Struthio camelus: one gene and its partners. The protein of the gene in region 1 binds, or shares a complex with, the protein of each later gene. Links are inferred from orthologs where the notes say so. Each region holds a gene or a part of one and is shown in the gene's direction. Other genes may lie near its edges.

Region 1 (6,975 bases):
TAACCAAAAATAGTGCAAAAAAAAAAAAAAGGAAAAACCTGTTATAGACACCCTCACCAGTGCTGTGGCTTTCTATAGTGACTAGCTTTACCCAGCAGTGACTTTCTCAGTCTCAACAGAGCTAGAAAGATCTTCCTCCTTCTCAGAAGCCCCATGGCATGGGCTGTTGGAGAAATAACACCTGACGCTGAGCTAGGCAGTGACACACGTGCTGAGACTGTAGCCAGTATTTTAAATCATATCTAGTCATGTCACTTGGTGCTAGGACACGTATAGGCAGGAAGTTTTCTTTTTTTCATCTGATGATGGGCTTTGTGCACCAAGAATCATATGGCTGCCACCTTCGTCCCTAGTTTAAACAGGGTTTAGCATGCAGTGTGAATTTTGCAGGGAAAATGATGATTGGTGGGATCGGCGAGGGGAAGCATCCTGATGCATGCTACAAATAGTTGGAGCTGAGGTTGCTGGATTAGTAGCTAACCCTGTCTCTCCTCCCCTCTGCACTTCAAGAGGTCCAAAAGTGTAATGTGAGATGGGCTTTTATATCCTTTGAGAAAACTCACTAATTAGAGGTGGGAGGAAACGAGGAAAGTTGGTTTACCAGAAATCATGCTTCTGCCCAAGGACCCTGATAGCAGAAGTATCTGTAATGAGAAATAAATATATTGTAGCCTGGGTAGTGACAGATAAGAATAAGGTCACTTTCAAGACTAAATTAGTTAGCTCTTGAATTTGCACGCTATAGAAGAAGGGTAGAAAAGTGCTTTCCCCCTTGCATAAGAAGGTGGGGGGGAGGACTGGACAGCCCTAGGAGGGAAGGAAGGTGCAAGAGAGGCAGTGAGTGAAGTAAGGGGACAGGTTGTGCAACTTTCACTTAATTGAGAATTGTGTTTCAAATCTGCAGAAAACAGCATGTTTCTCCCCATGTTCCCCAGACAGAAAAGCACAGTTTTACAATCTCCTTTTACTGTTTCGCTGATAAGCAGGCATTTCACATTTCTGACACTATACAAAATGTCCTTTAGAAAACTCTTTGTCAGTGCCACAGCATTTTCCAGCTGGAACATTAAAACCAGATCTTGGCTGGCCGGCTTAAGTTCTTACCCCACAACACAGCATCTCTCAGCTGTGGCTGGCGCAGGTACTCAAGCTAGAAAGGGAAAAAGCCTGCTGGAGAAACACTCACTTCTTCCCTTGCCCAAATGGCTAGCAGTGCAAATATATCTACTTCCAGACCTTTAGGGCAAGCTGGCTTGGCACGAACCAGAACAATTTGTTGAGTGCATGACTTTGTATTACTGTACATGACTTTGTATTTCCAGTCTGCAAACATTGACTGCTGGCCAAAGTTTAGTCCCATTCTACTTATAAGACCCCTACTGTGACCCATACTGTTACACATGTGTATTGTAAATAGCTATAAAGTTAGTGGATCTTCCTTCTTTGGCAAAACTCCCAAAAGGTATCTCTGCGTGACACAGACCTGCTCCATATTGCCCAGCCTCCAAGGCATGGACAGAGGGTTACCTTCTTTCTGGGAAAACCCATTTCCTAGCCTGGTAATCCCCACTTCCTGAAATAACCCATTTGGGTCACCGGCAGCTGAACATAAATCTGTCTTTGCCTTACTCTAACAAGCAACAGGACAACTTGATTCCAGTTAGTCTCAAGACGTGAAAATAGAGATCTCAGAAACTGCTGAATCAGAGGATATGGATCTCTGACAACAATAATATTTAAAAATCCTTACCAAAAATTGCGGCAGATGTTTTTGTTTTTTCAAGAAAAAAATGAATAGCAACTTCAGAGGCCTCCACAATATCATATTTGTGCTTTTTTACTTAGAGGAAACATGTTTCTTAGTCTGCATGCCATTTTTGCCAGCTAACAAAAAATACTTTCTAACAAGGAATTTGCACAAAGCTGAAAATATCTCACACTGATATGAGTCATTTAGGCTTTATGTGCATGTCTTGGAAAAAGGAATCTGAGGGAAAAATGTCTCTCTTTAAATATGTGCTTGCATGAAACAGTTTCTTGCCAGGCCTAGAAAGGCTAATGCACACTGGCGTTATATACAGGAGTGATAACTATGTTTCACCCCACAAAGCTGCTTTGTACGCCACATAACCAAAATAATACCACTTAATTTCTTTCTCAACTTTTGGATGCTGGTAAAAATAAAGTTTATTATTTCAGTGGGTTACTATTACTTTTTATATGTAGCTAGGTGACCTCTGCTGGTGGATTCTTATCATAACTCTACTAACTCACATATAGATACATTGATATTCTGGTAAATCCTGCCCTACATACACATAAGATATAATCCCTGCTCTGAAAAACACACAACTCCCATGCTGGAAAGGTGTAAAAAAATTATATAAGCTAGCTTTCTCTCTTCACAGAAGCTTTAGAGATCTGTACTATAAACAGGTATGAACATCTCTGGATAGGGCCACTGGTGTTTATTCAACGTATTTGTGGTCTAAATGGTGCCTATTTCTCAGAAAGCCCCTAAACTTCACCCTGAGAGAGCAGGGAGGTTATACTGAGGAAAGGATTAGTCTTCACTTGCTTTCCTTTCTTGTACTCGTTGTCATACTATCTGTTAACAGGTGTCGTGGGAGAAAGGATACCAGCTAAATGGACCTCTAGTCTGACTCAGCACGGCCGTAGACGCTCTGTCCACTATGCTACAGCAGCACACTGTAACAGGATGCTTAAAAAAAATTGCCATTCACCTGAGCCATCGCAATACAACTTGCAGTTAACAACCTTGGTCTCTGTGATACCCAAGGTCATTTCTATTATTACAGCACAGTGCAAGGAAATACCACAAATACCGAGGGAGCCTTATCTCTTTATCATAGGTGAAGCTGGCACGCTCTGCAGCGCTGGGGCTCCACCTCCGATCGCAGGCATCGGAGTTCACTTCAGCGTGTAGTCCGAGGCTGGCTTTCTGAATTAGGAGGTCAGGAGATTTCAGGTGTGTATGCGTTTACCACCACATCGCTACGCTCATTTCTCGCGTTTCCAGCTTCCAGATTGACAGCAACTGCATCTCAACGCAAGGCAGCAAACATAAACGCACCAGAAAAAAAACTAGTCCTGACCTCGCCGGAGCTAGCGGTAGAGCCAAAGGCAAAGGCCAGGCACAGGTCGTCCCTTCCGCTAAGCACACGCGTAACGTGCCAGGTCCCCACAGGCAGCCTGGACCCCAAAATACCCTCTGTGGCAGGGCGCCCTGTGGAAAAGGGGAGTTAAAACGGGGCCTTGCTGGCGTTGCTGTATAACCCCATCGCATGGCCGCAACCAAACCCAAACCACCAGAGACAGGAGGGGCACCGGTGGCCTTGCAAGGGTGCGCAGGTGGGAAGCGGGGGGGGGGGACACGGCGCAGAGATGTAGCTGCTACCCCCCCCCCCCCGGCAGCCCTATTTCTTCGCACTGAGGCGGCCCTGGGGGCTCCTGGGCGGCTGCGGGGGGAAGAGGGCGGCAGGGGCTCCCTCTCCCCGGCGCGCGCCCGGGGCCCCAACGGCCGCCCCAACGGCCGCCCCAACGGCCGCCGGGGTGGGGGGGAGGGGAGGGGGGGGCGCGGCGACACCCCACGGCGGCCGCTCCCGCCGCGCCTGGCTCGCCCCGCTGTTGTACCAACCACAGCTACAACCATCGCAGTAATAATTGTCCTTAGGACTGTTGTTACTCAGCCCGCTGCCTGCGGCCCTGCGCGCCGCCGCCAAGAGGCAGGGGCGGCCGGGCGCCGCCGTCAGGTGCCGGGCGCGGCGGCAGCGGCGCTGGGGCTCGGGGGGGCTCGGGGGGGGGGGGGGTAGGGAAGGGCGCCCCCTGGCGGCGCAGCCCCGGCCGTCGCCGGCCCCCACGCCGCCGCCGCTGCCCCGTCCGCCCGCCGCCCTCCCCCCCGGGCGGGCGGGCCGCCCGCCGCCGCCGCCGCCTGCCGCTCTGAAGTTTGCAGGCGATTTCCTTTCCAGCCCGGCCTTATCTCAGCCCGCACGTTGCCGCGCGGTGACTAATAACAGAATAACATTGTCTCGGGATAAAATAGCGCCGGGGCTGTTTACCCGCTCGATGGGGGTTCGCTATAAAAGGGCGCGGGGACCGCCGCGCCAGCCAGACGCGCCGGGGCGCACCGAGCCGCCGCGTCCCTCCCCGCACGCCGCCGCGCACTGTTCGCGCTGCGAGGGGTTTTATTTTTTCCCTCCTTTTTCTTTTATTATCCTTTTTTGTTTTTTGCGTTTTTCCTTTTTTTTTTTTAATTTTAATTTTTATTTTATTTTTCCCCTTCTCCTTTTTCGCCGCCGGCTCCTCTCCCTGTTCCCCGCTATGGATTATTCGCACATGATCGTCTCGCTGCTGGTCGTGGTCTGCCCGGGACTGCTGCCGGCAGGTAGGTGCGGACTCCGCGCTCTCCCTCGTTGGGGAGGAGGGGGGTCGGCTCACACACCTGGGTGAGCCCCGATGCTCCGTGCCGCGGAAGGGGGGGGCGGGGGGGGGGTCCGGCCGCTGCGCGGATCTAACGCGCCTCCGCCGCCGCCCGCAGCCCCCGGAGCCGCCGCCGCGCCGCCCCCCGCCGCCACCGCGCACCGCCGCGCCCGCCGCTGCTCCTGCTCCTCGCTGCTCGACGAGGAGTGCGTCTACTTCTGCCACCTCGACATCATCTGGATCAACACCCCCGAGTGAGTGGGCGAGGGGGGCAACCCCTCCGGCACTTACGCAGCGGTGGGCTTTGGCCTGAAAAACGGGGAACGAGGGAGGGGGGAGCTTCTAAACCACAAACTCCCTCGCAGAGATTAGGAAGGGAGGAAGGAATATATATGTGTATATTTTTTTCTTTCTTTTTTTTTTGTGTACGTGGTCACTCCTACTGCTTTCCCTGCTCCTCTTTTCCTGTTGAGTTTAATGGACTGTCTGCTGGGAGAAAGCAGGCAGGATTTGGCCAGCGAGATTGAGCAGATAACTCTTAATAGCCCTAACACACCTGCGTTCCTGAAGCGTAGGCAAGAGGCTTTCCTTTGGGTGCTGCCCTGCAAAGGCTGTAGGATACTCTTTGCTATGAATCAGAGGTGAACAAAACGCTAAGAGCGTGATTTTTGCCAGCTTGACTTTGCATAACTATTCTCCCAACAAGTCAGGAGGCTGAAGGGCTTCCTTTGGCGTGAGGTGGCTCCTTGCTACCTCTTGCTACTGCTGACCACTGCAAATTAACACATCTCGTGTTTAAGCAGAGATGGGTACAGTGTCAATGCCTGTTTCTGCAATGTCCTCACCAAAAAGTGCAATTAGCCAGAACCTCAGCTGACACTGCATACGCTGCCTTCGGTGATCTGTTCTATTGCTGAATTTTCTGTGACTGGAGGTGATCTATTCCTCACTTTTATTACTTTTTTCAGTTATCAAAGTTCAAAGAGAGGAGGTTTTATTGCATTCTGTTGCATATGGAGGCATACCAGGCTCATGAAATCACAATTTAAAAGTCATTAGCCTTGTCAGTAGCCATGCTAATTAGTATGTTGCAGGAGCATCAGAAGCACTTGCTTGGAAATTATGACCCGCAAAGCATCCTTGATCCCATAAGCTTTACTCATGCAATCAACCCCATTGATAAGGCTGCCCACAATACCCTGCTGCTCTGAAGCCACAAGATTATTTGAATTGTACTCATGTTGACTCTTTGATCATAGGAAGACCGTTCCTTATGGCCTTGGAGGTCCTTCTCGATCCAGAAGATCACTGAAGGACATAATGCCTGAGATGCTCACTGAACCTAGCAGCAGATGTCAGTGTGCCAACCAGAAAGACAAGAAATGTCTGAGTTTCTGCCAGACAGGAAAAGAACACTGGTGCGTTCATTGTTATGGCTCTTTAAAAGACATGTGCATGTGAAAGGGCCAGATTGTGGTACTCTTACTCGTTTTGGCACTTGCTGTGTGAATAATCTTCCCAAAGCCTTACCGCCTACCTCGCTGCTCATACTGCTATAACACATACCACGGTTTGGCCCAGAAGGATTGCTTATTGCATGCCTTGCAAAGTGATAGATTAGATGCATCTCCTTGTGGACTACAGAATTTTGTTTTGTTTTTTAACGACCGTGTTTTTTCGCTTTTACAGGGCTCAGTCCACAATGGAGAAAAGCTTGCGTCACCGCAACAAAGGTGGCAATTGCCTTGGACCAAAATGTATGAACCAACAGTTTGTTGGCAGCAAGAAAATGAAGAGGTGAGTTTCCTCTCATCCTGCTGTCATTCCCCAGAGTAGCAATAGAGAGCGTGGTTCTCCCTTTGGGTCAACATGAACTTAGCTGGTGATTTCAGCTCAAGTATTTTGGAGGAATTGCTGAGGGTTGTTGTGTTGGTTTCTTTTTTGTTGTTGTTGTTGTGAAGTTGTTAAGACAAGGGCGAGCTCTGCCTAGTGTCATCCACTTAGTGTCATACATGTCATCCACTTGCTTAGAGGAAACAGACTTACTCTCAGGCCTAAAGGGATACCAAGCTTAAGAGTATGAAATCATTAAATCCTGACAGAAGGAAGCAGAGCCTGACATCTTAGTGTGTTCATGTGTTATCTCAATTACTTACTATGTCTCAATTATTCTTCTAAAACAAAATTGAGTCAGCATGCCTTTTCTTAGGTGCTTTAATGCATTTTTCTGGAAAGAAAAGTTACTGACCTATCTGGATCTTAAACATATGATTTCTTCTGGCTGGTGTAGCTGGCTTTTAGAATGCAGCAAAACAGATTTCTTGCCTAATCCCTTACATTGTCAGATAAACCTGTGTAAATGCATACAGGATGCTAGCAATGGAAACGACTGCAAAAAGGTTGAGGAAGGTGAAAATGAAGATTAAATTAATATTTGAGGCTAATCCAATACCTGAGACTAAGACTAAATTAAAATCACAACTGCCCTTTGAGATCTATGTGTAATATGTTGAGTGGCAGTAGGAAACAATATCA
Region 2 (7,851 bases), on another chromosome or scaffold:
CAGAGACTGGATTAGAAGAACTTTTTGGTCTGACCTGCTGTGGCCATTTTATCAACTTATGGTTCACAAATTGGAAAAAAGGGAGTAAAAAACCAAAGGGGTCCTGCAAAAACTCTTCCATCACTGTAGCTGGATCACAGACAAACTCTATTCAGCTAGTATAACCTTCAATTGAGCAAGTAGGATTATTAATTTCAAATAATATTTTTTTCATATTTAAAATTTGAGTTTCCCACTTATGCATGAAAGTTAAACATGGATTATGGCTAATCAAGGACAAGATGGAGGCCTAAGATTTAAGGGCTATTGCTGTGAGTTAACAGCAATGGGAAAGTATGCCTTCTCTGATACAACGAGGACAAATTACGAGAACCAGCTGAAGATTGGCAAATGTTCTCAGCAGTCAATAGCTTTACTGTCTTGGCCTCAGAAGAGAGGAGAAAAAAAAAGCCTTCCTAGAACTAACTTTGAAAAAAATATACTGTTTGCTTAACATTCCAGTAAACATCACATTATTCTTTTGGACACTACCCCATTTTCCACAAAATATTAATTTACAGGTACTATTATTATTGTAGTTCATGCTCAATTCAATATCATATTATTCACCAGCAAACACAGGATATTTCAAAGTATTTTGAACACTACAATTGTAAAAATGAGATCAAAATACTCTTGACACAATGGAAGTTTGATCTGAGTGACAGAATCACAGAACAGTTGAGGTTAGAAGGGACCTTTAAAGATCATCTATTCCAACCCCCCCGCTCAAAGCAGGGTCAACTACAGCTCGCAGCACAGCCGTCTGGTGTATGAGCAACTCTTTCTAGTTTTGTATCATCAGCAAACTTGCTGAGGCTGCACTCTGCCCCATCATCCAGTGATGAATAAGTTGAACAGGGTTGGATCCAGTGTCAATCCCTGGGGTACACCGCTAGTAACTGGCCTCCAATTAGAGGCCTCCTCTGTGCCACTGACCACCACCCTCTGAGCTCTGCCATTCAGCTAAAGTGAAAAACAGGAGATTCCATTTAAACAGAAGGAAAAGCTTTTTTACTGTACGGGTGATTGAACACTGGAGTAGGCTGCCCAGAGAGGTTGTGGACTCTCCACCCTTGGAGATATTCAAAGCTGTCTGGACAGCGTCCTGGGTAACCTGCTCTCATTGATCCTGCTTGAGCAAGGGGGTTGGAATAGATGATCTTTAAAGGTCCCTTCCAACCTCATCCATTCTGTGATTCTGTGATTCTGCTCAATAATTGAAGAGAGTGAACAATATAGGTTACTATTTCTCTAGTCTCCACACCAAAGGTTCAGCAATCTCAGTTCATATTAGAACTTTTCTATCATGTTTCTGCAAAATTTATATTTTAATTTACTAAGAACATGGTTTGGCTAATCAGTCTGAAGACAATAACATAATATCTTGCTTTTCCTTAATATCAAGGAAGGGGAGCTACAATGCAGATCCAAATCCAACTCCCCGTCCACAGCTCTTGACTAATAATTCCATTTGGGGTGCAATAGCTCCTTCAGTTGTTCCTATATTAAATGCTTGGCACCATGGTCCATTCAATCCTTTAAACTTTCATCCTTTGTTCCCTTTTTATTCCATCATAGCTTTGTGTCTCAACTTCCCATAGTTCCAACACAAGAACATTTCAACAGTTCTAATCAAAATACCTTTCCAATTATTAGAAATTGGAACTAATTTCTAATATAAAAGTATTCTCCCTATAAGCCACTTTGAATTATAAATCCCTACTATAAGTTGTTAACTTTTTCTAGAAATATGAAAGAAATGAGTGAGAAAGTAAAAAAAGGGAGGAGGAAGGGAGGAACGAGCAAGATACTATTGCCAGAAAGAGTTTTTATTTGTGTTAGGCATATACAGAGATACATAGATACGCCATTACCAGGGACACAATTTAAATAAGACAGCTAATTGGGAAACAGAAACTTCACGGAATAGACAGCAAATAGTTCCATGATCACTGGGAATAATAGAGTATGAGCTGCAATGAATTTATATCTCATGCTAGATTTACTTTTTAACTGAATTACTCTAAAGTCTTTGCATGAGTGCAACTCTTTTCAAAGAACAGAGAATCTATACGAGATAGAAATACTGCCTATGATTTAGATTCTTGGCTTTTTTCAATGAGGTGCAAATTCTGACTAAATCTTGGTTAATAAAAGTTGAGAAACCTGGTTAACAAATATTTCTCAAACTAGTATGTTTGCAATGAAAAGTTTTGGATTTGATGAGTTGGCATTTTCAAAAACATAAAGGAAAACTATTCATGAGCTCTACCTATTGAATAGAATGTGAAACAGTCATCTAGTATTTCAACCAAAGTACGTAGTTTCATTTTTCCAAAATATCCAAGTGGCTCTTAACATAATATTTTGCACTCTTTCTTGAAGGAACAAAACTTGTATCAGAAATCAAGTGGAAGAAAGCAAGATAACGGGAGATTTATACACTTTGCCATAAACAGCTCTTTTGATTTTCTGAAAATGCTACAGATTATAAGCATATCAACTGATAGCTTATGAGATTGCCACTTATAAGGGAATCTCTTTCTTGATTTTGGTCTTTTGAACCTCAGCAATGGGATTTAGGACTCCTCAAGCTGATGAACATATGCTTATATTACATACTAAATCTGAGGAGGTAAGTAGCTTACAGGTAATACATTTACTAAATGATACTCATTTTAATTGAATAAAATTAACTCCTCCAAACATAACTAAAGATTCTCTTTTATTGCCTCTGAGGCAGTTGTATAAAAGTCACTGCAGTTTTAGTATCATTAGGCTTGTAACACTTGAAGTAAAGAATTTTTTTCTGATAGCTGAATTCTCCAGGAAAAATAACAGCTTTAAAAATGTTGAGAGTCTTCCTGAAGTGCCAAAACCCAAGTATGTTCCTATTAGCCTTAAAACTTAAGAATAACGTGTTGTTATCTGTAAGGCCAGTAACACGTTATCCTTACTCTGAATCTTTGAAGCTTAAACCAAAAGTGAAGTAGTTTATTGAAGAGACAAAATGGAAGAGGTTGGAGGAAATACTTCAACTAAACTGATTCTGAGAGTCCTCAACCAGTAACTCTCCAATAAAAGAATGCACGGAGAGGACAGCAGTCCTACAATTACCGTGAAAACTTCTCTAATACCTAAAAATATCCTGGTGTAAAGAACAGTATTTGGTCACTTTTCTTAGTAGCTGAGGCCAACTGCACTTACTTAATATCAGTTTTCAGAGAATTCATATACGATAAATTCCTTTCCCATGTTACTTTCCTGAACACAGTCAAAGAAATTAGCAGGAATGATTAAATATAACTTCTGAATTTAACTTAGTCTCAGATAAGAATTCAGCTCAGTTTTAGGTACCTGGCAAGATTAAAGGCAAAACAAAGGTTCAGTTACCAAATAAGGAACAATAACAACAACAAAGATCATGGAACCACTACGAGCAATACAGTAATTTCTAATAATTAATACAATTTATGTGGGTTGGTAATAATAGAGGAATTCACAATGGTAATAAATAGTTCTCCCTTTTCATATTTTAAAATAGACTTTAGCAGCATTACTAAATCCAATTATTCCATTTCATAGTAAATATAATTAAGCATGACAGTGTCTGAATAGATTATAGGAACCTTCTAAATTAATAGAATTATGAACTGGAAGGAAAAATGTGTGTTTGAATGAGATCAGAAATCTAAACTTAATCTTGCTGGGCAAGTCAAGTTGTTTAGATATAAAGGTCAAATGACCCGAGGAAATGCATAGGGTGTTAGGAATGTTTGGAGAATATATAAGAGATTTAAGAATTGCATTTGATGAAGCACTCCTAAAGTGTGCATGATCTATAGGTACATGCTTTCTAGGTCTTTAATAGTTTTGTCAATAAATTATTATACAGGTGATTCTTGACAAAGCCTACCAGTAATACTAAGCATCTGTGACAAAACTGTAAGGAATTTTTAAATAACTTTCACAAATATCACATGGCCAATTTAGTGGCTTATCACATTTATTCAATTTCAAGACAACTTGAGATTTTGAATTAAACATTTTTACCTGATTTGCAAACAGTAGGCTTCTTAAGATTGTCAGCCTGAACACTTCTGTTCCTTCAAAGATCTTATGTTCTGACTCATCATATAACTGAGATGGTTTTCTAGAAGAAATAAAGTGTTACTGTTCCAGTTGATCCAGATGCTGCTTTTTTCTGTACCAGGTTTGTCAGATGATTTAAGAGAGCATCTATAGAAGCTTTTTATTATCTAATACTCATATAAAGATCAAAACAATTTCTCACATGATTTGGTGCCAGATATTTTAACTCTGCAGACCTTTAGGCGTAACATTTTCTTTTGTTCCTTTCAATTGGTTCTTACTCTTCTAGGACTACATATTTTTACATCCCATTTAGGAAGATTGCCCTTTTATATTCAAAAGAAGCCCATATATGTTTAGAAAATTATTTCTGGGGTACAGCCAGATGGAAATTTAACCCGAAATGCACATCCTTGACAGAATACCTTGACAGAACAGTATTAGGAAACACAGAAATGCTAGTATATGCTATGCTTTTATTATCTTTTTAAATGCTTTTTTGGTCTGGAAACAGATAAGAGGTACTAGCAAAGTGGTCTTGGATGGATCACAAAAAATTCCATCCAGGAACAGTCACTCCTGAAAGATCCAGAAACTCTTACACTTCTAGTTTTACTGATTGTCTTGGAAAATACTATAATCCTACCCAAACCTGGGGAAAACACAAAACAAAAACTATATCACGAGATTTTTCTCCCTGCTCTGCTTTTCGTTCTTATACAGTCTGGGGCAACCATACTTACAATGTTTCTGTGAAATGCCTGTGCTACTTTAGCAGACAGCTACAGTAGTGGATTCCCACTACTGTTGCTTAAATGAGTCCAGTGAAGTACTTCAGCTCCATTTCAGGGAGGAAACAGTTAAAGAGCTCAGTGATCCCCTGTGCCCGGGAGGCAGCCTTTGTGTTTAACATTGGCAGGGGCTCAGTTTGGGCTGGAGGTTTGTTTTAATTGGGGGAGGGGGCAGAAAAGAGGGGACGCTCTCCTTCAGTCTGTCTCTTTCTTTCCCTGATTTAGCGGAGGTGGAGATTTTCAATCCCACCCAGTCAGACGCAGGCAGGAGGATTTGGTAAGACTACCCCGGGAAAAGCTACTCAGAGGAAATTATCAGCAGCAGCAGCAGCAGCAGGCGCAGCAGCAACATGAGGGTGAGCCCGCAGGAAGACGCACGCCTGGGGTGAGTGCGCGGTCTCCCGCTGCAGGAGCCGGGCGGGAGCCGCTGCCCGTTGCCCGGGAGGGTCCGGGCGAGAGTCGTGGGACACTTTCAGCGCTTCTTGATAACGCTCCCGGTAATGATTAGGTGATGATGGTGCAACTGTGCGTGTGAGAGAGGGGCGGGGGGTGGGGGGGGGGGAGAGAGACAACAAGAGACAGAGAGGCACAAGGCAGCTCGGGATACTATTAAATAAACTTGAACATATATAGATCTTGTCAGATGATCTATATAGGCTGGAGAAGAGATAATACTGATTTGCCAAGGGCATGTTGGAATTGATCTTTTGCTAGTGTTACAAGCAGAGAATGAGGAAGAAATACAAGGCAATTATCCCAACAGCAGAGTACGCTATCTGTGCTAGAGTGGGAGACAACGAAGAGAAATTCAGTTTGTCGGCCGTGCTTCAGAGCTTTCTTGCCCCCCTGAAGTTTGTTGGACTCTGTTTACATTTCAGCTGCCTTTTGGGCAGATTAATCAGTGTTAATGCTTTTAGTTTGTCTTTGATACTTTGAGTAATCTCATTTCCAACAGTATTGTTTCTTCTTGTGAGTGTCGGCACGGGAATTTTTCGTGCGTGATACCCCAGGCAGGAGATGTACCCAAGTTAGGAGTTCTGCTCCTGCCGTGCTGTGCGAGCGTACGGCCTGCACATGCACATGGCCTGCACAACACAACACCCTCACGTATTCTAGGTATTTAGGTTACATGTGAAGAAGAATAGCGGATTACATTGTAATGAAAATTTAGTATAGATACTAGCATGTTGTTATTATAGTCTATAACAATACAGATACATTGAAAAAATGCACAGAGGAATGAAAGGTTTTGTCAGGAATCCATAGGAAAACATTCCTAGAAATTACTAGCTTTGTTATTTAAAGGAAAATTTCTTCTGGGAGAGGGAAGAGATGGTAATTGGCAATTTTGTTCAGAGCTTCGCACGCTAGCTGCATGATTACCATGCTGCCACCATATTTATATGATCTGTACATATTAAATTCGCAGAAGAAAACGTCATTAAATAAGGAGCAGACGAATATAGCAATTAAAGCATAGGGCTGTGGTCGCTGTTCATAGCTGTGCCACAGATTTACTTGGGCAAGTATGAACTTGGGAAAGTCATTTAAAGCATTAGTGATTCAGTTTTTCCCATTTGTAAATTGGGAAACTATAGTCGTAACCAATAATAGAAGTATTAGTACTTGCCTGAAAGGATTTAAAGTAAAGCGTGCCTGTTGTTTCTGACGTGATTTAGAATCCTAAAGTGAATGCACTTACATCCTGCAAAGTATTACTAACTGCCCTCAGACACCAACATAACAGTCATTTAAAAAGATTAGCTATCTAGCTTCAAACCTCAAAATCAAGCATACAGTTGGTCAAATCCTCATCTCAGATACACCAATATGACACATTGTAAATTTGCATCATTGGTCTGTGAGGGACAGCACTCAACATACCAGAGAGGAATATTCAGATTAACATTGCATATGCCGCTGTATACAGATACACACACACTTTTACAAATCACATACAACAGAAGAGGATAATAGTAGTAGTAAATATTTATACTCTGGCTGTGTCCAGAAGTCCTATCAGTAAACTGTCTCCCACATTCTTTCTCTTGTAAATTTTTCACTATAAACCCTGAATTAATAGTCCCATAGGGAAAGAAATTATTATTTATTTATTTAAAAGTATCCTTCCAAATCCTTCATGTGAGTCCCTAGAAATCAGAAAGTTATAAATACTCAACTTCCTACTCTTCTTTTGGCAACAATGCAGCACTTTACCCTGCCTTGCATAGACAAGTCATGTTAAAAATTTGAATCCCGAATCAGTCTGAGGCTTAAGGAAAATGGACCTCCTTGGCTTGTATACTGTAGAAGTTCCTCTGGAGGTGGTATCTACCCCATGCTGCAGGGAGCTGGCTCTGGCCTTCACGCATACACAGTCACACTTACTGTAACAGAATGCTCTGATGCTCCCTTTCCCATCTGAAAATGTCATGAGATATTGCTAGAATACTAAACTAACTATTTTAAATAGTCATAAAATTAACAAATTTAGTAGCTCTAATTGTTAATGAAGAGTTGTTACCTTATTTTTTAGCAGAAAGCTAAAATAATAACTTGGTATTTGGGCCAAAGTATCATTCATTAGAGTCCTCAAGGCTTCCTTTTATTGAGGGACCATTGAAGGACACTTTTTCTTGCAAAATTACATTTTTTAACAGAACTTCATCCACCATATTTTTTCCTTTCATACACAAATCCTGCCTCAAACTAAAAGGACTCTGCAGGAACCCATTTCTATAAGCTTCAATTACTGTTAGGGATTTTTTGTGTTTCAATTTTGCTAGCCATTTAATAATGTGGATAATCTAGATTTCAGAATAGCACAGTGATTACAAATATGTGTTTGTACATATTTGTTGTAAAAACTGTACATTCAAGTACCCTTCTTCCTAAATGAGAAACAGCATGTATTGTGCCTGTTGCA
Region 3 (7,398 bases), on another chromosome or scaffold:
TTTCTGTGCAATAACATAAACAATGTATGATTAGTTATCACCTCCTTTGAAGAAACTTATACCTTTCCCAGCAGCAAAAAAAAAATGACATTTTTGTTTACAATTGATCTTATCTAGGCTTCCTGGGAGATTCTGATCCAACCTCCTAACTGCAGCTGGAATTTAAAACTAAACCTGGTCACCTTCATTCTATTGAATTAATATGGAAAATAGTGCCTTGAATTATTTCAGAAAAATGCAGAAATGCTACTAATCCAAACCTCCAGCTACATCCCTAAACAACTTCTTGTAGCTTTTCCTTAAAAGACTGCAATTCAGTGTATTTCAGCTTACTTTGAGTTAATTACATGCTACTACTTTAATTTTAGAACTTAAATTTACATTGTGATTTCCTTTCCTGACGCTGAATAGGAAGGATGAGGAGAATGTGTTTTACTAAACGTCATTTTATTTTTAATCTTAGAAGAGAAAATAACATATTTCAGCTGGCAACCAATCTGTCTTAAAGGCTTGAAATTTATCCCTTCTAAAAATCCTCAAAATCATATAAATAAGGACTGTAAGAGAAAACTGAGTGTTTGGTTAGCACAAATTTGATTCAGTCTATTATTGTCATGCATTTTACATCTTTAAGATAAAAGATGGAACTCCTACATAAAAACAGGTATCTGCTCTCAACTTTCATGTTTCATTTGTGATTTCTACTACTATTGTTTTATTCTGATAAAATAAATATTGCTCACATTGTTTCAAGAATTAGGTGTAACTTCAATACACTGCAATTGAAAGACAAGAACCATATTTTATGGAAGTTGCTTATCTCTGTAGGAGAAAAGACAAAACACAGCTAGGCATCACACTGAAAAGACCAGCCATTTTCAAAGCCATTTTGGCATGAATTTAGACTAAGGAAAACAAAACTGAGACAAACGTGTTATTCTTCTGTATCATCTGTCTAGTATTAATGATGTCCAGATACAAAACTGCAACATTCTAATTTCTGAATTTCTCAAAGTACATTTTGTTTATTTGGTTAAAACTGTCATTGGTAATGTTACTATGGTAACTTTTAAAATACAGAAAACAATGTTCAGACTTTAATTCACCTCATGCATCTAATGAGTAGCTTACACTGAGGTTGCTATTCTCTCTATTCATCCTGAACTTGTCCTAGTTAGTAGGCAAATTTTCACTGGCTTCAATAAAAGGAAAAACAGGCCTGATGGAGCAGATTTTCAGTGCTACTTAGGCATTGAAAGATGTAAATAGATAATTAAAGAGATTTGCTAAAGTATCTGCAAGCTCATGACAAAATTCCCATTAATTCACTGAGTATAAAATGAATTAAAATATACATTCCTGAGGTGTGTCTCAGGATGGTGTTAATAAAAAGATCTTCTGATATCATAATCTTGACCACTGCTCATGATTTATTCTACATGTAATGGAACAAGTTGGAAAATCTTTCTGATGTTGAAAACCATTCTGGTGCTGATTACAGATTACCCAGTCTATTCACTCTGTGTACGATACTCCAGAAAATGTTGTCAGAGCATTATCAGTCCTTGATCACAAAGTTACATCTGACTTAGAATTAAAAGATTCATTGGCCATGGTTCATAGGCAGAGCGCTGGAATTCAGTGGAAGTAAAGAACGTAATAAAATGAACATCAGACAGTCTGAAGAAGCTTTTGGATGGTGATCTAACTTTCCCTGTTTTGCACTTGAAATTGAACTTTGTATAGGAAAGGGAGTATTTCTGCTTCTTAGAAAAAAAAATCCAGATACACTAGTGGCAGTTTGCATAATCCTATGTAATGAATTACATACCATTCAGTAATGAATTTATTTCATAACTTAATTAGCATGGACCATTTAAGGGCACCAGTCTGTTACAGTCACAGATGTTTTTTTCTTGTTGCAATACAGATTATTAGCACGTTAGTTGCTTCTTCATTTAAACAACAGTTAATTTGCCAAGATATCCCCTATGCTCTCAGTTTAATATTCTTTTAACATCCACACACATTTCTGTGGCAATATATTATCTTTTACTTTTTCCCAAATTAAAGAAGACTTGCATGATAGCACGTGCTCTTTTTAATTTCTCAGATATTCTAAACCCTGAAAAGAACAGAAGAGAAACAAGAAGGATGGTATTGCCTTGCCTATCCCATCATTTCTGACGAGCCATCAAATTTGTCATTATTGACAGTTCATCATAACCAGTAATTACGTTAAAAGAGCTGGTACAGACAAATTGCTGGCAGCCAGAAAGAGTTTGGATGCTTCGTCCCAAAGACCTACTATGTGCAGTACTACAGTGTAATTCTGTTTAGGTATCAGCAGTTGTCTAGAGTCCTGTATATCCTAATGCTTTTTCTATGATTTTCACTTCTGATGCTTAAGTAAGTGGTAGCAAATGTTGCTACCAAACCGTAGCAAATACAGCAAGAATAGGTGCACCAACAAAAATGTTAGGAAAGATACAGCAGTGCAGTTGCAATCTATTTCTCGATGGTCAGCCTAAGAGTTTTAGAGACTTAGCGGGTGACCCTGCAAGCAACAAGCACTTCAAGATAAAAGTTAATGTTATGTTAGTTGGCAGGAGTTTCTAGGAAAGATCAATACCACATCTAGCAAAACATTGCTCCCTTACAGATCACAGAACTGGAAATTCAGAGAAGGCAGAACTGGAAACTGTAAAGACTTTAAGTCCCCAGGTCTGAGAACACTACAGGGCTAACACAATTTTGTCAAGGACACCGACGCAATGAGAGTGGAATCAGCTGGTACTGCAAAACTTACCCTACTGTAAAACATAATCTGAGAAAGTCTGAACCTCTGAAAATCACTTCTCCAGCTAGAGTACAATCAACTTCCACTACACTCACACAGCTTAGAAGTGACTCTGGTGCCTTTATTTTACAAATAGCACCAAATGAAATAAGGTGGGGAAAAAAAGAACATGCCAACTAAATCAGGAAATGGATCACAAGTGGTTAAGTGAGAAAAGCACTGGATGTGGGAGACATTGAAACAAAGCTGAAGATGTGAAAAGGGGGCAAAAAGAGGAAGAGAAAAGACTGGCTGCTGCAGTCTCTCAAGGGGGTGTTAGCAGGAGATGCTGGAAAGAAAATAAGATGAAATAGGTCAGACTGATTTTAGGGAGAGGTTTGAAAGCACAGTATTTTGTTGGTGGTGTTTCCTCCTCAAGAGTATGTCAATAACGTGAGTGGGTCACTTGTGTAAATCAGTGGCTATACATTTATTTTCTGCATATGATTTAGCTTGCAGCATGATTTTAAACAGATCGTGGAGACATGCAGAGATGCTGGAAAAGAGCTTTAAACTGCATTATTTTCAGTTAGATGTGCAATTGTTTCCACCCCTCGGAGGCTATTCTGACTCTCCCCAAGACACTGTACGAATCCGAGTGCTCCTTATGGTCACTGAAGGGCCCAACGGCAAGACGGAGCTCGCTGAGATCAGGTGCGTTTGTTTCTAAGGCTGCCTAACGGTGGCGACGAGATAGCCAAGCTGGATCACTGCACATTCGCAGAAATCAACATGCTACTTCTTATAAAAATAGTATTCAAAGCAGGTACCCGAGTTTGCACGGCGCTAGCCTTTTAGGCATCGCACAAGCAACTTCTTCAGCATTTCAGCCACTCGGGACGTGCAGAGGGGCTGCTCGCAGCGGGGAGTAAAACGCAGAGGGAAAGTAGAGCAGCTACTGGAAACGGGTCTGGGGAGGGAGAGCAGAGAGAACACCTTGTCGTTCCCCTAGAGGTCCTCTCACAATGGGGAAAAAAAAAAAAACTCTAAAACCCAACAACAACAAAACCACTTCGCTTTGCAAATTGCTTTAAAAATCGCACAGGAGGAGGACGGACGGCAGAAAAGCCCGGCGAGACCAGGGCGCACCGCCGGCCCCACACCGAGGTACCGGCTGCCTGGCGAGACGGGGCGATGCCCGCCACGGTTTAACGGACGCACCTCAGGGCCAACGCCCCTCCCCCCCACGCCCCCCGCCGCGAGCAGCCCCCCCCCCTCGCGGCGCCGGCCCGCCCGGCCGGGCTGGGGCTGCGCGAGGGGCGGGAGGCGGCGGAGCCTGGGCGGGGGGCGGGCGCGGCGCCTCGGCCGCCCCCCCGCCCCGGCTCCGCCGCCGGCAGGAACGGCCACGGGCGGCCGGGCGGCCCAGCGGGCTTGGCCGAGGGACGAGGCCCGGGAGGGGAGGTGCGGGGGGAGGGCGCGGGTGGGGTCTGGCCGTGACGGATGGGACAGATGCGATTGAATCTTTTAGAAAAGGGAGGGGGGGCCCGGCCCTGCCCTACTGGCTCGGCTTCAGCCGCCGCGTTTGGTGCGCTGCTGACAGCCGCCGCGTCCTGTGGCGAGAGCCGGTGCCTGCCGCCGCTGGCCCCGGGCGTGGGGCAGCGAGCCGGGCGTGGAGCGCGGTAACCGGCGGAGCGCGTTTCCCTCGCTGGGCGGGCAGCGCCCCGCAGGCGGCGGGCGAGGCGCCTCGGCGAGGCTGGGCTGGGTGAGAGGAGCTCGATGCCGAGGGGAGCAGAGCGGGGCGCCGCGCAGCAGCCGCGGCCGGCGGGGACTCGTCGCCCGAGCTGCTGTTGGCGCAGGTTTCCCCGCGGCTGCCGCTGCGGGCTGCCCTCAGCGCCGGGCTGCGGTGCGGTGCGGAGCGGCGAGGCGGGGGGCAGCCCCTCGGGAGGAGGAATGGCGCGGCCAGCAGCGGGGCGGGGGGGGGGGGTGGCCGGCGAGACGGCGGCCGCCGGCGCTGACGCCCTGTCGCTTCTCTCCGCGCAGGTCGGCGCTGAGCGCCCTGCGGAGGATCGGCTGTGCCGCAGCGCCATGCCCGCCGCCCGCCTCTGGCGGCTGCCCGCTCTCCTACTGCTGCTGCTCCTCGCCGGCCGCGCCGCTACCGCCGAGGGCGACGGCTCCCTGCGCCCGCCGCGCCCGGGCAGGCAGAGCCCGGCGGCGGCGGCGGCCGAGGCCGTGCCCCCGACGGCCGGGACCCCGGGGCTGCGCGGCGCCGAGCCCAACGCCTCCCGCCCGGCCTCGCTGCCCCAGGGCGGGGGGGCGGCCGGCGGCAGGCCGCGCTCGGCCTCACCCCCGATGTGCACGGGGCAGACGGAGATCAAGGAGACTTTCAAGTACATCAACACGGTGGTGTCCTGCCTCGTCTTCGTGCTGGGCATCATCGGCAACTCCACGCTGCTGCGGATCATCTACAAGAACAAGTGCATGAGGAACGGGCCCAACATCCTCATCGCCAGCCTGGCCCTGGGGGACCTGTTGCACATCATCATCGACATCCCCATCAACGTCTACAAGGTGAGGGGGCAGCCGGCCAAGGGCCCGCGCGCGGGGGTGGCGGTGCCTGCCACCTCTCCTCAGGGCTCCCTGCCGAAACGCCACCTGGCCCGGCGGGGAGACGCCGGGGGCTAAACCCTCGGCCAAAAACCTGCCACGGGATGGAACTGGGGCTGCATGTTGCCCCTCTAATTGCAGACCGCCCCCATCTTCTGACCCTGTCGCAGCCCTCCCAGATCTGGGCATGGGTTTGGGACGAGGGCAGAGGGGGCCATTCGTGATTAGAGGTAACGTGGCCCTGAAAGTCACCTGGAAACAGATTTTGTCCCAGGGACGAAGGAAATGAGGAGTGCGTTAGATTTGTAGGTTCCCTCCTTTCCCAAGGGATGGAGGAATGCCAGAGAAGCACTTCTGCCGCGAGCGTGGGTACTGCTCAGCTCCTTCTGCTGAAGGAACCAACCCGGTTAAAGCTGAGGGCTTGACAGAGCAGGCGGGAGAGAGCTTTGTGTTTGTTTAAACATCCAGTGGCTGTGAGATATGCTGTTACTGTGATCCTCTCCCCCTTTCACACTCCTACCAGAGTGTTACGGCATGAGCAGTGGAGAGGGAGTAGCCACACCTGCTACTCTTGCAGTTCATCTCTTACACCTTCCTTACTCTTTAAGGTGATAAAGCTTGCCGCAGAAGGAGTGCAATCTGTGCCCTATCTACCCAGCTTGAGCAGTCCCTTTGCTTTTATGAATTCGAGTTGAATGCAGCCTCTAGTTAAGATCAGGACTCCTGGGAGGGATGATGGGAAAACAAGGCTGCCTTCTGCCCCAAAGTTTGCAGTCTAGGTTCCTGTGCACCCATCAGCTATTGCATGAAGTGAACATGAGAGCCTTCATCTATCTATTCCTTCTCCTCACTTCGTGTGCATGGTTTTAAACTTTTGAGTTTTGTTACTTTAGCTTTGGAAAGCTGTGTTGAACTGACAGGTTTTGAATTTAGTCTTTTATATCAGTTGTGATTTCTCCCAGAAGTTGTTGAAAGGGGAGAATGCTGCATTTTTGTATTTCTGAAGTAATGAAGCAGTGAACTTACACGTCATCATAATTGTGTCAAACTGTTGGGCTGGATAACTTGGATTACCTGAAAGTTGCTTCAATTTGTAATTTCAGTAATTTCCATACAATACATTTATGGGAGTTCTCATATGAGGCTACCAGTCTTCTGAGTGAGAGTGGAATTTATGAAAAAAATATTCAGGGTTAACTGTTTTCAATAACTTTAACATTATAAGAAACTATTAATTGAAAAGAAAGATTTTTTCCATCCGTTCTCAAAAAAGGCAAAAATAGTGTATCAATAATACAATTGTTCATACAGTAACACAATTGCTCCCTGCAATCTCAGGGACACTGACATGTCAAAATTAAATACATCAGTGATAAAATGCAGTAATATATTGCAGTCCTTATCTTGGTTGAATATCATCAAGTATATCATCATGAGTAGGCTGGAGCTGGAGGAAAGGTCAGCTTGCCTACTGATAAGTATTAGACAAGCTGCAAGTCCAGGGTTCTTACTGCGCTATTGATAATACTAGGAGCTTATCATAAGCTCTCAGGTGACAAAACTCCTATGCTGCCACTCATCTTTACCAAGAGCCCACATTAGAATTACATTATCCATTAGAATAGTGAGTAAAATATTTGCCATTTTAAAACAAGATTTTTGAATTAATATAGTCAGAAAAAAAACAGACCATAGATTGTATTAATTTGATTTTTCATCAAAATTGAATAGTTTGAGTGTAATTTGAGTTGATGATAACTTTTTTTCAACTCTACATCTCCTATAGTTCCACCGCAGAGCTGCTTTGTAGGTCTGGGGAACAACATAGTAGTGTAATATAGTAGTTAAGCCTGACTATAATCATCTAGTAGTATGGGAAAAACAAAAGTTAGCAGAGTCTTAGTTTGTAAATCAAGTGTACTTAACATTTGTAACTTGCAATTTGAAACAATTTTAAAGTGAATGAAGTAGATCGTCAGAATTGCTGTCAGATACACAGCTAGCCAGCTACATGG

Evidence for each region.
Region 2: the proteins of EDN1 (region 1) and EDNRA are in contact, whole or in part, in a cryo-EM structure (PDB 8HCQ), measured with the Homo sapiens proteins. The link is inferred for Struthio camelus from reciprocal best matches to the Homo sapiens genes EDN1 and EDNRA. Residues at the interface, in NP_001403492.1 of Homo sapiens: Cys53, Ser54, Leu58, Asp60, Lys61, Glu62, Cys63, Val64, Tyr65, Phe66, Cys67, His68, Leu69, Asp70, Ile71, Ile72, Trp73; in NP_001948.1 of Homo sapiens: Tyr68, Gln72, Thr73, Lys74, Tyr129, Asp133, Ile136, Asn137, Lys140, Leu141, Gly144, Arg145, Trp146, Gln165, Lys166, Val169, Glu220, Phe224, Val227, Phe229, Tyr231, His236, Lys237, Thr238, Cys239, Met240, Leu241, Asn242, Gln252, Lys255.
Region 3: the proteins of EDN1 (region 1) and EDNRB are in contact, whole or in part, in a cryo-EM structure (PDB 8XWP), measured with the Homo sapiens proteins. The link is inferred for Struthio camelus from reciprocal best matches to the Homo sapiens genes EDN1 and EDNRB. Residues at the interface, in NP_001403492.1 of Homo sapiens: Cys53, Ser54, Cys55, Ser56, Ser57, Leu58, Glu62, Cys63, Val64, Tyr65, Phe66, Cys67, His68, Leu69, Asp70, Ile71, Ile72, Trp73; in NP_000106.1 of Homo sapiens: Pro88, Pro89, Ile94, Glu95, Ile157, Asn158, Lys161, Glu165, Asp166, Trp167, Val177, Pro178, Gln181, Lys182, Val185, Phe240, Ile243, Met245, Tyr247, Leu252, Ile254, Leu256, Leu257, His258, Pro259, Lys270, Lys273, Leu277, Trp336, Leu339.

Annotation. Positions count from the first base shown.
Region 1 is NC_090943.1:100,617,270-100,624,244, reverse strand, and holds the start of EDN1 (endothelin-1), read left to right. Parts: upstream 1-3,915; 5' UTR 3,916-4,086; coding exon 4,087-4,405; intron 4,406-4,558; coding exon 4,559-4,694; intron 4,695-5,699; coding exon 5,700-5,858; intron 5,859-6,129; coding exon 6,130-6,237; intron 6,238-6,975. UniProt on the Homo sapiens protein: Endothelins are endothelium-derived vasoconstrictor peptides. Probable ligand for G-protein coupled receptors EDNRA and EDNRB which activates PTK2B, BCAR1, BCAR3 and, GTPases RAP1 and RHOA cascade in glomerular mesangial cells.
Region 2 is NC_090945.1:35,585,497-35,593,347, forward strand, and holds the start of EDNRA (endothelin-1 receptor), read left to right. Parts: upstream 1-4,799; 5' UTR 4,800-5,073; exon of another isoform or gene 5,074-5,124; 5' UTR 5,125-5,422; intron 5,423-7,851. UniProt on the Homo sapiens protein: Receptor for endothelin-1. Mediates its action by association with G proteins that activate a phosphatidylinositol-calcium second messenger system. The rank order of binding affinities for ET-A is: ET1 > ET2 >> ET3.
Region 3 is NC_090942.1:176,373,908-176,381,305, forward strand, and holds the start of EDNRB (endothelin receptor type B), read left to right. Parts: upstream 1-4,346; 5' UTR 4,347-4,541; intron 4,542-4,819; 5' UTR 4,820-4,864; coding exon 4,865-5,347; intron 5,348-7,398. UniProt on the Homo sapiens protein: Non-specific receptor for endothelin 1, 2, and 3. Mediates its action by association with G proteins that activate a phosphatidylinositol-calcium second messenger system.